2 linked regions of the Rhinolophus ferrumequinum genome follow. The protein of the gene in region 1 interacts with the protein of each later gene in a biochemical or structural test. Links are inferred from orthologs where the notes say so. Each region holds a gene or a part of one and is shown in the gene's direction. Other genes may lie near its edges. The genes, in order: PRPF40A and MECP2.

What was found.
Region 2: the proteins of PRPF40A (region 1) and MECP2 form a complex in vitro, tested with the Homo sapiens proteins (2 studies listed by BioGRID, with this or other methods). The link is inferred for Rhinolophus ferrumequinum from reciprocal best matches to the Homo sapiens genes PRPF40A and MECP2.

The regions. Positions count from the first base shown.
Region 1 is NC_046291.1:67,935,718-67,943,188, forward strand, and holds the start of PRPF40A (pre-mRNA-processing factor 40 homolog A), read left to right. Parts: upstream 1-4,207; coding exon 4,208-4,609; intron 4,610-5,726; coding exon 5,727-5,858; intron 5,859-7,246; exon of another isoform or gene 7,247-7,278; coding exon of another isoform or gene 7,279-7,326; intron 7,327-7,471. Other genes in the region: ARL6IP6 (ADP-ribosylation factor-like protein 6-interacting protein 6), read right to left, coding at 1,290-1,343, 2,785-3,184.
Region 2 is NC_046284.1:6,364,398-6,372,938, forward strand, and holds the start of MECP2 (methyl-CpG-binding protein 2), read left to right. Parts: upstream 1-5,290; 5' UTR 5,291-5,385; coding exon 5,386-5,447; intron 5,448-8,541. UniProt on the Homo sapiens protein: Chromosomal protein that binds to methylated DNA. It can bind specifically to a single methyl-CpG pair. It is not influenced by sequences flanking the methyl-CpGs.

The DNA.
Region 1 (7,471 bases):
TATGCCTAGTTTATAAGGTTTTCTTTCTACTGCATCAAGAGTTGACATCAATGCTATGAAAAAACTCATAATCGTGCTCACTTCCGCAGCACATACACTAAGACTCATAATCTTGGCTGTTTTTAGAGATGAAACAGTATAACAACATACACTAATAAAATGAGTAACAAAAAATACTATTTTCTCATGCAAGAAATTGAGAAGGGCACAGACAAGTTTTCTAGATTAGTTTCTAACAAACTAATTTGTAATTTGAAGATAAAGGTTTCTCCTCCTGCAAAATCCAGTAGACTATACTTTGTATCATCATGAGGGCACTGTCCTTGAAGAGGTGGATTAAATAGTTTGCTAAGATTGGGGAGGGAGACTGTAACATGCAGGATAGGATCCCAACCATTTTTTTCCCCTCATTTTAGAGTGGTTAATCAAATAAATTATAGCAAATAGGATAAATATACCAAAGTTCTGAACTCTTCAAAATCATTTTGCAGAGAAAAATAAATACAAGATAAATAACCCTTGAATTTTTCACTAGAAACCTGTAATCTATAGCATTCAATAGAGGTTCTACAGAAATTCAGGTCTGACTCTTTCCTAGTCATTATTAACCTGTGCAAGTATGACCAATGCTTCTGACTTTTTTTAAAAACAAGTCGATTATAAAATTTGAACTTAAATCTCTTCTGAGGTCTGCTTAAGATGTTATGTTTTCTAAGTTTGTGAGGAAGTTTTTTTATTTTTTTAATTCCTGGGAAGAAGTATAAGAAGACTCTTTCAGAAAACTCTTTCAGTATTCTCTGGGTCTTTGTCACATACAGTTCTGTTCAAAATGCACTCATTCCTAGTGTGTGTGGTATACATACATACATATACCGTGTTTCCCTGAACATAAGATATAGCCAGACCATCAGCTCTAATGTGTCTTTTGGAGCAAAAATTAATATAAGACCCTTTATTATATTAATATTAATATTATATTATATATTATACTAATTACATTAAAGACCTGGTCTCATATTAATTTTTGCTCCAAAAGATGCATTAGAGCTGCTGGTCAGGCGAGGCCTTATTTTCGGGGAAACACGGTACACATACACACACACACACCCTACACATATGTAAAAAGAAAATCTAATAAAATTGACCACACATACGCAAATGAAAAGATTAAGACTGAATCAACAGCACAAGAAAATACGTTAAGTATTTTATCCAAAATCTTGTATAGTTTAAACATGATCTGAAAAAAACAAATGAGCTCAAAATCAAATGAAGTGACAAGTCCATACCTAATAGCCCAGTGTCTATATCATCTTCATTCTTCAAATTCTCAGCATGTAACTCTGTAAACACAAAAAAGGGCTTCAGTAAAAAAGATGAGTTTGTAATTTGAACAGTAGCTCAAAGGCTGAGAAGACAGTTTTAGAGCTGTGGAAAGTGATCTAAAGTCATAAACTGGGTTCGAATTCTGATTCTATTTATTAGTTATGTGACCTTCAGTAAGCAAGTAAGACGTCTATGAGTCAACTGCCATATATATAAAATGGTAATATTTAAACCATTGAGTTGTCATGAAGACATTTATATAATGCAAATCACAGGGCATACTAGGTTTTGAGTTCAGGTCCTTTCTCCATTCTCCAAAATAGCACAGCTCAATGTACTTGCAGGTTTCGTGGCTTTATGATAAAAAGGCAATCACTCAGAGCAAAAGAGAAATAAACTACCTACAAGACAAAACTCCGAGTTACAGTGAAAAAAGACGGGGAGGGAATGAAATATTGGTACCCATATACTTAATTTAACATTGACAGTTTATAACCAGTACCATTGTACGAATAGGTAAAAATTGCCAATCTGTCTTCTGTATGAAACTCAAGCATGGTAAACTGTTAGATGCCACCTGCAGCCCACTAGTGGATTGGAAGCAATGAGGAAAAATAAAAACTGCAAATAGATTTAATTCAATTTAGTGAAAATTAATATTTGAGTAACAATGTGTTGGGTTCTTCTCATACAACAAAGGTAGTTTTGTCCTAATTTTTCTTTTTCGGCTAACTTGGCTAGTTACACACGAATGAGACCTGAGATTTAAACTCAGGTCTGATTCTTTCCACTGCAATATAAAATATCCAACCACGTAATAAATACATCCGTATAAGCATTGGAAAACCTTTCAAGGCACAACTCTATTCCAATCTGGCTATGTCAACTTTAGACACAGGAAAACAAAATAATCAGAGAAAGCACAGACTAGCTGCTGTAACAGAACTTTACCACTACACTCAGTTGCAAACTTAACACAAAACGAAGAGCTCATTATTTAACTCTAATAGCAGACATTTGGGCTGTGGGATGGAAATCCTTGTACTTCAGGAATTCTCTGAGTGTACAGAGAAATCGTTGGGTAGCACATATTTAACCCGTTGTGAATTAGACTTTGAACACGTATAGCCTATTTTAATTACACTTTTCACCGTCTTCTACTGATTGTCCTGCGTTTTAATTTTGCCAATATCTCACCTCGTGTTCACTGATTTTAAAATACTATTTGACTCAAAGTCTTTCTAATGGGTCTCCTGATGACGGACCAGGACACTTCACCTTTAAGAAAAGTGAGGACAAAGGGAGGAGAGCAAAGAAAAGTGCCATTGAGAACTCTGAATGAAAGCGGCTACCAGCTGAGCTCGCTGGTCTTTGATGGGGAGAAGGGTGACGAAGGCTAGAGCCATGTCCAGGCTCAACTTTATTCTGGACAGACTTTCAAGGCCCGACCTTCAGTACCTTTTACGATCAGGTAGGCGATGGCGAGGAGGAAGGCGAGGAGGGCGGCGAACAGCAGCGAACAGAGAACTGAGAGGACCTGGACCGGCCACCGCCCAACCTGTGTCCGGCCGTGCGTATCCGCCGAGAAGATGCCATTGCGCTTATCCGGCAGGACCGGAGACCCGTCCCCCTCCGGCGGGAGTAACAAGCCCTTTCTAGGCTCTGACGACGCCCCAGCCGAGAATTCTGCCCGCAAGTCGCGGGCTACTTGGTCGCATTCATCCTCCTCGTCCACTTCACCTTCACCCCAACTATCCCCTTGAGTCAAGGAGGAAAACCCCGGCCGACAAAAAGGGACGGGGGTACCGAGGCGGCGGCGCACTGCAACCGAGCACCTCCCGCTCTCCAGGAACGACATGGCGGGAAAGCCGGCGAGGCCCGAGGAGATCCAGCGTCTCCCGCCCGCGCCGCCCCGAGCTCGCAGCAGCCAATCAGCGGCCTGGCCACCCCACGGCCTCCACCACCCTGTCCCCAAGCGCAGGGGTGCGCGAGGGTGCGCGGAGGGGCGGAGGAGGTGCTGTGAGGCCCTAAGAGAGGCTAGGTACAACTGGACTAGAGCACGATCCCCGGGCAGGAGGAGGGAAGGGGAGCCGGGAAGCGAGCGTTGAGGAAGCCGAGGCCGAAGGTAGCCGGGTTTCCTCTCCCTGCTTTGCTTCGTCCCGGCCAGAAGCCTCAGCCACCGCCGCGTCACCTCCAAGCAAGCCCGCGCCCCGGCAGCCCGACAGCTGCATCTTCTGACGCCGGGTCCTAGCGCCCGCTCGTTCCCCTGACTCCCGTACCCAAACCTATTTACTTTCTCCCTTTTGGTCCTAGACGCTCACACTCTCCCCGGGCTTCCCTCATTAACGGCAGCTCACTGGCCAGTGCTTTCAGGTCGCCTTAAGTGCCCACCCGTCATACCCTTTCGCATTGTTCTCCCCGCCCCTACCATAACTTCCCTCCACGCTGCTCGGCACGCCTCCTCCCCCCACCTCTCCGCCCCGGCGCGCGCTCTCCAGCTGGTGCGTACGGTGCTCCAGCCCGCTCCACCGACCACCGGACCCCTCCTCTCGCCTTCCCCGCCCCCGCCCCTCCGCCTAGAGCACCGTGCGCGCGCCTCGGGTCCCGGCCGCCTCTAACGCTAGAAGCTGCTTACCCCTCCCCCCCGCCCACCCTTCCCGACCCCACCCTACCCCCTGGCGGCCTCAGGTTTGTGGGGCGTACGTAACTCGGGCAGGGAGGTGAAGGTGGCAGGTCCCCACTGCCCCACCCCTAAGGGGTGAGGCGGTCTAAGCTCGGGAAGCTGGGACACGGTTGTTTTCCCTTCCCGGGGGTAAGTTGGTGGAGTTTTTCCGGCAGAGGACTCGGCGCAGAAACTTCCTCCGTCCCCCTCCCCCCCTCCATGCAGGCGACGCCGAGTGAGGCTGAGGCTGGGGGCGAATCGCCGCAGAGCTGCGTGTCGGCAGCGCACTCTGACTGGACAGCGGGGAAGCCTGTCAGCTTATTGGCCCCGCTGATCCCGCCCCGTAGCGCGGGGCAGCCTTTAACCTTTGGCCCCAGCGGGCGCCAGCCACTCAGATCGCTTCTTGTTGGTATATGCGGCGGTAGTGGCCGCCGGCGGAGCAGTCTGAGCCAGACGATGAGGCCGGGGACAGGAGCCGAGCGTGGAGGCCTCATGGTGAGTGAAATGGAGAGCCATCCTCCCGCGCGGGGTCCTGGGGACGGGGAGCGGAGATTGTCCGGCTCAAGCCTCTGCTCCAGCTCTTGGGTCTCTGCTGACGGCTTCCTGAGGAGACGGCCCTCGGTAAGGGATCAGTGTGGCAGGGGAAAAGCGGCACAATGAAAAACGGAGTCAGACAGGAAGCTTTCTCCAAAAGGAGAAGAAGATAAGAGTGGACGAAGCTAAGAGCTCGAGGTGGTGGGGTGTGTTCGGAGGGGGAGAAATGGAGGGCGAGAATGCACAAAGGGAAGGATGTGGGACCCTGGAAGTTTCCAGTGGCTTGGCTTAGACAGATGTGCGGTGGAGGTGCTGGGCCCTGAGCTGGGTGACGGTTCCCGAGAGGTAGGCCCGATTTAGGAGGGGCGGGGGGAGGCGGAGACGTGATTCTGGAGGCTTTAGAAGAATATGCCAAGATCTGTTTTCACTAGTAGTAGTGGTGTCTGTAGGGTGGACAGCTGGGAGAATTAGCAGGTGATCCATTACGTGGTTTTAAGACCTGGAACAATGAACACACAGGTAAAGGAAGTAGTTGTCTTATAAAAGCACGTTAAAATGGATGAATTAGTTTTTTTGCATTTAGTGTGTGTGAATGACAGACCTCAGTCTTGGAATAAATTTTTTTTTGGTAGAAATAATTTTACCCGTATAAACGTTATATTAGGAAATGTGATTATATTAGGAAATGTTTATTTGTTAGGAATGAGGTGTCCCTGGGTACCCATACTATTTGTTTCATAAGACCAGTTCTTATTTGAGTTAATTTGGTAAATTAAGCTTAAGATCATCTAGAAATAAATTAAGAATAACTAGTCTTAAAAAATAAAAAGTTATCTAATATCTGTGATAAAGGACAAAGTTGTGGTTTTCATCATAACAGTTAAGTTGGCTTTCACATACATTTTTTTCTGAATTTAGCAAGTCAATTAGTAATTGATTAAATAAATGTGCTTAAAAAAACATGATCTAGCTGTTCACTAATGATTTTTATTTTTTACATTTTGTTCTGGAATTTGATTAGTTGAAAGCTCATTATAAATATTAATGTAGTGCATTTTTGTTTAAGGCAAAGTATAAACTAACCTGGTAATTAAATCACATATTAACCTAATATTATATCACTGCACATAACTGATTTGTTGAAATCAGTTTTTTAAGAAGTTTATTGTTGTTTGCTAATTTTTGAATTCCCCTTATTTTTCAGATGGGGCACCCTGGCATGCATTATGCCCCAATGGGAATGCACCCTATGGGTCAGAGAGCAAATATGCCTCCTGTACCTCATGGAATGATGCCACAAATGATGCCCCCAATGGGAGGGCCACCAATGGGACAAGTAAGAATGTTTTTGTTTTATTTCATTTTTATTTATTTTTGCCTATGGTATTGTGCCAAGATTTCAAAATCTGGGTCAATACTTGTAGCTATTTAAGGATTCGTTTATGCCAAAATAATGTTTTCAAATAAATGAAATGTTGAGTCATGATACTAACCATTTTGAATATAACGAAAAGTCTTCTGTATAAAAGATCAACTTTTTATTGCAACAAAATTGAGTTGTTTTTTTAATTTAAAAGTAATTCTGTACATGTAGACTTTTTAATGACATTTTTCCCCCAAGTATGTCAATTGAACTTAATATTCTAAGGGTAAATATTATCTGATAGATAACATAATTTATGTCGGCGGACTATGTAAATACATAGAATCTGAAAATTGCACTTGTTCAGGTCTTTGGCTTAGAATGAATTTTATTCCTGAAAAAGCTTTCTCGTGTGGGATGGAGGGGGTGTGTGGAGGTGGGGAGGTTCTACTCTAATTTGGTTCTTCATGGGACAGTGCCAAATAGGTAGTTTCCACTTACACTATTTTGTTGTCGTTGTTTTAATGTTTATTGCTTCTGCACTCCTGCTTTTGAGCTGTCCCTTCCATCTCCAGCATAAATTGTAAATGGACATTTTGTAGGAGTGATCTGGATCAAAAGATTTTAATGGGGACTCAGTGAATGTAATAGAGCTGAGTTCCTAGAGAAGCATTTAAGAAAGGTAACAGGTTCAGTTACCGTGAATAATTTTATGCCCCGCTAGATTCTATAATAATTTCTTAGTAGAGCTGCTCTAACTAGATAATGAATCCTTTAAATGCTCTCATTATTTAAAATTAGTTTGGTGGCTGGTTTCTTTCCATTTGAGTATCCCAATAAATCATCAAAAATTTAGGCTAACAAAATTTTTTGGAAAGCCAGTCAATTAGGTATGATGTTTCTGCTAATTAATACTGTTTGTTTTGATAATCATTTAAGCCTTGATGGTTTAAGTTATTGGTGAAATTGTAGTGGAGAAAGGAGCTTGCTCTGCGTCTCTTTTTACTTAATCTTAAGAGTAGTAGGGTTTAAATGTCAAGTACTTTTTTTTTTTAAAATTTGGAATATAGCCCTTAACTTTGTATAAAAATCTTTATTCAAAGGTACCAGGCCCAGAGGATTCGGCTTGTAGAACTTTAAATAAAAGAACCATTTATTTTGTTACGCTAGAATAACATGAGTTTTAAAACTCCCTAGTTGATGGAGAAACACCTCTGATTCCTTTTCTGTTTCTTTCCATCTTTAAGCAGCAAGGAGCTCTTGTTTTCTTAGTAGAGCTGCTCGAACTAGATAATGAGCTTTAAAAAATATTTATTCTTTAAATGCTCTGGTTCTTATTTAAAATTAGTTTCTTTCCACAGAAAGATAAAATAAAACAATTTGCTACTGCCAGATGCTTCTCTCTTTTCTGGGGCCTTCTGTTTCCAATGGGCCAATCAAGGTAAGTTTGCAAGGGATTGACCTGCTTACCCTTGCTGTAATGTGCTATATTGCACTACCAAAACCAAGATACCAGCTCATCATTTCTAGTAAAATGCAGATTTTTTTTTTTTAAAGTACTTTTGTGTGTCTCATTGACATAAGCT
Region 2 (8,541 bases), on another chromosome or scaffold:
TCTATTGAAATTGGAATTTCAATACTCATTTAATTTCCACTAATTCTTTTTTTTTTTAAGATTTTATTGGGGAAGGGGAACAAGACTTTATTGGGGGAATAGTGTCTACTTCCAGGACTTTTTTCCAAGTCAAGTTGTTGTCCTTTCAATCTTAGTTGTGGAGGGTGCCGTTCAACTTCAAGTTGTTGTCTTTTCAGTCTTAGTTGTGGAGGGTGCAGCTCAGCTCCAGGTCCAGTTGCCGTTGCTAGTTGCAGGGGGCACAGCCCACCATCCCTTGCGGGACTCAAGGAATCAAACTGGCGACCTTGTGGTTGAGAGCCCACTGGCCCATGTGGGAATTGAACCAGCAGCCTTCAGAGTTAGGAGCACGGAGCTCCAACCGCCTGAGCCACGGGGCTAGCCCCTCCATTAACTCTTTCTTGTTTCCCACTCCTTTTACACAATATTCTGTTCTTGTCTTTTGGATGCAATATTTTCTGTCAGGTCTCTGAATAAGCTAATCAAATTAATTTTTTCCCCATATGTTCCCTGCATTTTCTGGGATTTCTCCAAGTTCATTTTCCCCCTATAGGTTACACTTGACTATTTTTAATGTTGCAGGCCTTATTCAAATTTATGATGATCCCTAGTGGTTGGTTAATATTTAATAAAGAAGGACTGGATAATTATTGTGGATTTATTCTGCTTTAGGGCAAATAGTTCCATTTTCCTGCTATGACTCTTTTGTGTAGGGTAGGGAGCTGAGGAACAGAGTTTATATCCCACAAATGCTGGAATGAGGAGAAAATTGTTCAGGGGTTACCAATACCCATGCTGGAAGCCCTAGCTCTCTACAGACATTTCATTCAATTTCATTAGAGAGCTGTCAGGTATTTTCGCTGCAGGTTTACACCGGTTGTCCCCTCAGCTGTCTGTTGAAGGAGAGGAGGTTCCAACTGGTGCAGTCATTCTGTATTGGGCCCTTCAATCAATCCCCAAGTGTTCAGTCCCATTTAATTCTATTGCCTTCCACCATATGCCTGCTGATTCGGAGCCTACTCTCTGGTGTTATATCTGATAAACTGGCTCCCACTTCCTCTGTAGTTCCCTTGTCAATTTTAGGCTGGATTTTTCCTGCCTGTTTTATCCATCAACTAATTCTCATCTGCTTTCCAAAATGAATGTTGAAATCTGTCCATCGAGGATAACTTCCTATCCTCACCACATTCTCTTCACTCTGATGGGTTTATTCCTTTCTGTTAATCAATACTTTTCTTGCGGTAAGTTTCTAAGGGTAAAGAAGGAAAACCGTGTTTGTATATCTGTGTATATGCGCACGCACATGAGTGCAAGCATGATGTATCAGAATCAATTCATTTCTCATCTATTTTCTAATAAATGTACTTAAGGTTATTAATTTTTCTAGATGACCATTTTGGCCACACAGCATAGGTTTTAATGTGTATGGCTCTCATTGTTGGTCACTGCTGAAGAGTTTATAATTTTAGTTTTTGTTTCCTCTTTAACCAAAGAGTTATTTTGAAGCCTGTTTTAAAAGTTCCAAATGGAGAGTGTTTTTTTGTTTTGTTTTGTTTTGTTTTGTTTTACTTTTGCCCATTCTCTTGTTCCTAAGTTTTAATTTTATTGTATTGTTGCCAGAGATTGAACTGCAGGATTTCTACATTTCGGAATTTACTGAGATTGTTTTTTTTTTTTTGAGGGGTCTAATGTATAAGCAACTTTAGGAAATGTCCCATAGTGTTTGAAACAAATTTGTAGTTTTTATTTACTTATTTTTTGTGATATCATCTGGGATGTTCTAAAATTTTGTGCAGTCTGTTTTACCCTTCTCATGAAAATATATATTTTCTATTAGCCGAAGGGATTTTTAGACAGATGGAGAAGTTTGAACTCTATCTTCCATATCGAAAAAATCCTTCTGGTTGTTGGTTTTCTGTCGTGGTTGCTATCTCTATGACGTTTTCCTGGTTTTTATCTTCTACAGTCCCATTTTTTAAATGGCCCATTTTTAATTCACTAGTAAATACTTTACACTCCAGTATATTTTTCTACTTTTCAATGGCGAGAGTGAAATTGTACCATTTAAGTCCTGTTTATTCAAACTAAGGGATTTAGCAAGACCCTAGACGCTCTCCATTGGTTTTTTTTCTTTCAAAAATGTCTTGACTTCTAGCCTTGTACACTTACTCTTCCCAACCTAGCATTAACTTGTTATAGTATATAAAAACTCCTGGATTTTGATTCAGGCAAAGAATTTCCAGATTAATTTGTGAAGAATTGACATCTTTATTGTGTTTTTTAATGTAGGTGTTTTGGCATTTCTTATGACGTTTGTTCCCAACTGCTTTATAATTTTTGTAGCTAGAGTAAGTTGAATGTTTTTCCCCCATTAAATTTCCCAGCTCTTGGCTGGATCTCTATGTCTGCATTCTAACAAGCAGGGAATCAACTTGGAATTAATTGGTCTTTCTCCTTGCTGTGAACTCCAAGGATGAAGTTTAAAAGAGAATGAAAGGAGAAGCACACGTGTTTTATTTTACACAAGTGATGTTGCCCTGTAGATCTTGTTCTGTTTCTTGCTTTGTTTCTACTTCACACCATTAAATACAATGTTTGTTCTAAGTTTTTTTTGATAGATACCTTTGATTAGATCAAGAAAGTTCCCTTCTATTCATAGTTCTCTAAGTTGTTGGGGTTTTTTTTTATCATAAGTGGCTGTTGAATTTTATCAAATGCTTTTTCTGCATCTATTGAAATAATCATATAATTTGTTCCCCTTAAATTAGTTAAAGTTGATTTTCTAATTTTAAACCATCCTTGCATTCTTAGGATAAAACTCAACTTGGTTATATTATTATATACCGCCAGATTCAGTTTATTTGTCTAGAAGTTTTACATCTATTTCCACATCCAGTATCATGCTGTTATTCGCTCGTTATAATAGTTATATTAGTTTCACAAGTTTGGAGAGATTTCTTCATTTTTTTTTCTGTTTATGATTGGAATTACCCACTCATTAAAGATTTGGTAGAACTCGTCTGTAAAACTCTCTGAGCTTGTTTTATTATTTTTTTTGGGGGGAGAGATTTTTAAAATACATAATCAATTCCTTTGTGGTTATCGAGGGTCTATCCAGGTTTTGTTTCTAGAGTCAATTTTGGTAAGCTGTGCTTTTCTAGGAATTTATTCATTTTGTTTATATTTTCCAATTTATCTACCATCTATTGTATAATCTATTCTATCTGTAGGCTGTGGCTCCTTTTCATTTTTATTATAAGGGGCTGGTCTCTTCTCTCCTTACATGTCACTTCTTAGAGGGTTGGCTTTTGTTTTTCAGCTTGTCGAAGAATCAGCTTTTGATGTACTCAATCTATCACTTGTTTCTGCTTCATCAATTTCTGCTCATTGTTATTTTTCTTCTATTTTCTCCATTTTTACTATGTTGTTCCTTTTATAGCTTCTTGAGTTAAATATTCAGCTTGTTGACTTGTTGACTGCTTGTTGACCCAAGAGCCTGCTCAACAGCTCCACTTGCACGTCTAATAGGCACTCTAAGCTTAACATGGCCAAAACAGAATTCTTGATCTGTACCTATAAAAACGTGCGTTTTCTACAGGGGAGCCCAATCGTGGTGAAAGGCACCCATTTACTCAGTTGCTCAGGACAAAAACTCAGGAATCATACTTGTTTCTTCTGTCTTTATACCCTACAGCCAATCCTTTCTGCCTGATTTTGAAAACATGGCTTGAATCTCACAACTTTTCAGAACCTCCACTGCTACCATCCTAGTTAAATCCACTCTTACCTCTCCTAGATTGTTGTCAGGAGCTCCTGACTGGGCTCTTGCTCCTAGTTTTGTCCCAGCATGGATAGTTCTCCACACTGCACCTACAACATAGATTTGATGGTGTCAACTCCCAGTTCAAAATTCTCCAAGGGCTTCTCAGCTCAGAATAAGCTCCCATTTCCCATAGTGACTCCATCCCTCTCTAGCCACATAAGCTTCTTTGTTAGTCCCTAACACGCTGGGCATAGTCTCTCCTCAGGGCCTTTTTACTTTTCTGAAATGTTCTCTCCCCAGATATCTACATGGGGGAATAAAATGAAGGCAAAAGCCTGTGGATATCTAAATAGCACCTATTCACCCTTGTTTTATCTACCTCAAAGCCTTTATCACTATGTTACATTATGTTACATAGTTATTTGTATGTTTAGTATGAATATTTCACATAAGAATGTTAGTTTGCTGTCTTATTCAGTTCTGTGCTTCCAGAGCCTGGAACAGTGCCTGGCATATAGCAGCTGTTTAGTAAATGAATGGCGGTGGGGGGGGGAGCCAAATCAGAATTAGAAGATTCCTTGTTAATCACAGGACTTGTACAAGGAGCATTTGATGAATTGGAGGATGGCTGGAATCAGAGTAAGTTCGCCTTGTCAAGCAGTCTTATCTTGAACACCCCACTGACTAAAACTTTTCTTATACTCTTATTTTTTCAAAACAGAATTGCTGGCTCTTAGCTCCCAAGTCACCTCTTCTAGGAAATCTTCCCTTTCCCCTCCAGGTAGAGCTTAGTGCTGCTTCCTCTGTGCTTCCACTGCCTTCTTCACACCTCCACCAAACCATCTGATCCAACAATGACGGGTCTCATGCAGCCTTGTCATGTCCCCTTTTCCCCCACCACAGTTTCACGAAGGCCAGAGCTGTGATTTGTTGTCAGTTTATTCCCTGCCCCTATGAGAGTCTGGCTCGTGGCAGGCTCAGATGAAAGAATGCAATGGATAGGCCTCTTAAACCAAGGTCTTTCAGCTGGAACGTCAGGCTCCAGGGCAGGCAACTTTGTTGCTTCTACTGAAGGTGGTGACAATAAGAAAATGCAGGTGCAGTGAAACACTTATTGCAGCTTACTTGGTGTGTTTGCGGACAGCGCATCAACCGCCCAGGAGGGCCGCGCGCAAACAGGAGTGCGAAGGCTAGGCCTTCACTTGCCCCAGCATCCGCAAGGGCCCATTAATCCTTAATATTCAAATTCCTCCCACTAAACCAGCCCCTCAGTGCCCAAGCCGCCTCTTTTTCCCAAATGACGGCCAACGGCAGCCAATCGGCAGCTGGGCAGGGGGTCCGCCCCCTTTTCCCTGGCCAGAATGGACACAAACTATCGCCAATTGGTGGCTCCGCCGCGGAGGACCCGCCCCGCCCCGATCGCCGCACCCAATGGCAGACGGGCTCGCGGCAGCGCCGGGGGCGGGACGCGGGCGCGCAGGTGCAGCTGCGCGCAGTCCGGCCGGGAGGGCGGGGCGCGACGTCGACCGTGCGGAGTCCCGGCGTCGGCGGCGCGCGCGCTCCCTCCTCTCGGAGAGAGGGCTGTGGTAAAAGCCGTCCGGAAAATGGCCGCCGCCGCCGCTGCCGCGCCAAGCGGAGGAGGAGGAGGAGGCGAGGAGGAGAGACTGTGAGTGGGGCCACCGCGGCCGCGGGCGGGGACCCTTGCCGAGGGGCGGGGGGTAGGGGCGGGACGTGGCGCGGGAGGGGCCCGCGGGGTCGGACGACACGGCTGGCGGATGGCGTCCCTCCTCTTTACCCTCCCCCTCCCGCCGCCGCCGGTGACGGCTCCCCCCTCGGCCCGTCACCCGCACTTGCGGGTGACCGTCCTCGCCCCGGCCTCCCCGGGCCACCTTCGCCTGGCGCCCCGCTCTCTCCCGCCTTCAGCGCGCATCCCGGCCCCCGGCCCCACGGGCGCCGCTGTCGCTGGGGCTTCGCTTGTCTGGGCTGCGCGCGCGTCGTGCCCTTCTCGGGGCTTCGGGCCCGCGGCGCCGTCGCGCGCCCGCGGCCCCAGCCTCTCCCTGGATCGCGCTCTCCCCTCTCCCTCCCTCGCGCGCCCCCTCTCCCGTTACTCGGCCCCCCCCACCGGCGCGCGTGCGCAGTCCGCCTCCCGTCGGGAGAGTGCGCCACAAGGGCTCCTGCGCTCTCACCCCCCATCTTCAGGCTCTGCCTCCCCCTCCTTCTCGCCCATTCCGTGACTTTCTGCCCCCATTGCGAGCGAGTCGGTCCACCATCTCCTTTCCCATCCAGCAGGAACAAGTAGGTGGGAATTTATTGTCCACCCACAAAAGGGACTAGACATTGTGTTCCTGGTCCCACAACTCATCCGAAAGAGGCTGTTCTAGTTCCCATCGGGAGCCGTGGATAGGGGACTGTTTGTCCGGCAGCACCTGAGGCTCTTCAGTGGGAGTGCGCCTCCAGGGTCTTTGGGGTTGCGGTGGCCTCAGAAATATGAGCGTCCTCCCATCCTCCCCCCTCCGCCGGCGATCTTCCAGTTACATAAGTGGAGTGGGACACCGTATGTAACGGGCTCCCGTAGTCCTGGACGCGTCCTGCTCTAGATCACCAGTACCATATGGGGCAAGTTCATCGCATCGCTGTGGTTCCTGTCAATTGTCTCTGAAAGTTTATTTTCTTTTTAGTTTGGTTATGCCTGACTCGCCCACACTGAAACTCAGGTGACTTTTACATGGTGTGGCAATGTGTCTGTGGTTTTGCGCTGAAAACTTAAGGTCATTGTGAAGAGTCTAAAAAGAGTGCTCTCACAGAGGAGAGACCCTTTGCGATATTGCTAAGTATGGCTCGGAGAGGGGGAAGCTTGCTCTGGAATACCTCTGTGGCAGTCGTTTCTGTTGTGTGTTCCGTGTGGATTGGTCACAGCAGAAATGGGCTCAACCACAAAATTGATATTCCTGACTCATGGTCAGGCAGATGTGTGCTTCTGGTTATTTTTCCAGGAACAGGAATGGGCTCTGTGGAGCCATTCACATGTTGTGTCTGCTGTGTGGGATCAGTACCCCAAGTTGTGAGACGGTAGGATCAAATTCAGGGGGTGGTTGGTGATCCTGGAACCATCCCTACCGGCGTGCGCTGATGCTAAGTGGCTTAGACTTCCGGCGTGTGATGATGCGAAGTAGTTTAGACTTGGTAGGACTCTCCCAAGTTACAGGCATTTGGTCATGCTAGAAAAACGAAGCGTAGTCAGGCCTTGGTAGTAAAATTCATTGTTAATGGCAGTTAGTACTCTAGAGGAGAAATTTGGGTTTCATGGCTGGAATTTTCATCTGGATCTCAGTAATTGCAGTTAACAGTGAGATTGAGCCTGGCCTCTTGAGTCTCTTGAAATATGCTAGATCCTTATTGAAAATACAGGGTCTGGATTTTTTTAGGTCTTCTGGGAATTTCCCCCAGGGATTTCGGGGAAATGGGCTTATTTGTGGGCTTTTTAGGACTTGCACTTCAAATCCCAGTGGGGAAGCCTAGAAAACACTTTTATTTCCTTACCCACACATGTCAGAACTTTAAAGGGCACAATCAATCTAGTAGAAGTACAGTTGATTAAGTAAGTCGCCACAGAGCACCCATTCGTACATGTCAGCTAAGTGGCCTGTCACTGAGGTACATCCCGTCCAGAACACAGACACGCAAGCCTCACTTGACAAAGATTCCAAGGTTTGTACATCTGAACCTGAGATGTCACTGGACAAGGGCTTTGCTTTGTTTTGCCGTCGTTGGCAATGTGTTTGCCTCTTCAGATGCCCTCCAGCCAGCTGTTTGTCATACCCCTAGCCCTTTAAACAGCACAGGTAGCTTCCAGAATATAGTTTATCTGCGAAGTTCCTGGTGGTGTGTGAAGTAAGCATGTCCTAACAGCTTGAAGAGACCTTCTATGGCTTTCTTGCTCATATTGGCCTATCATGCTGTTCTATTTCTTACTGTTACAAATTTGCCTGGAATGCTTTAAACCGAGTACCAGGTCTTTGTTTCACCTGGCAAAGCATGATGCCGTCAAACCGTACTCCCAACTTTTGGGCTGTTTGTGTACTGGGGGGTGGGGTGGGGGTTAGAATACAGTTTTGCATTCTATTTGTAATTTCCAGTCAGAGCCATTGTTTCCCTGCCTGCCCTGCCGCTGAGTGGCCGGATCTAGTGGGGTACGGAGGCGAGCTGTGGAGTTGGACAGCACAGCTGGCTAGATGAGTCCCATATGATGTTGCCCCCCACCCAAATACTCCTTCCCCCACGTGGAGATCAAATGAGAAACTCTCTTCTTTAACTTACAATAAAGAAGAGCAGCGTTAAAATTGTTGGTTCCCGTCTCAGGCCCGTTTTCGCTGCTAAGGTACCTGCCTGGGACTGTTTGCATGATAAATGATGTGTCTTGCAACCAGTCATCTTTTCTAACAACGAATATCAGAAGAAATCTTTTAATTGGCTCAGAGCAGTTTGTTGGAAGGCTGCCTGAGAGTCCGTGAGAGAATAACAGAAAATGTTTGACATTTGTAGTAACTAGTGTTTTAAACGCACGGGGGGTAAAAGAACAGCCCTAGACTGGCGCCGAGTTGCAGGGAGTGTGGCAGGACACCTGCTTGTTTCCACTGCCCTCTGTTATGGTGACATGCGTGCAGACCAGCCTCCTGTGGCCAACAGACACAACCGTTTTTCTTGGGTAGAGTATTACTGTCACTCCAACGGAAGGACCTTGTCCTCAGTGCTTCTGTAAC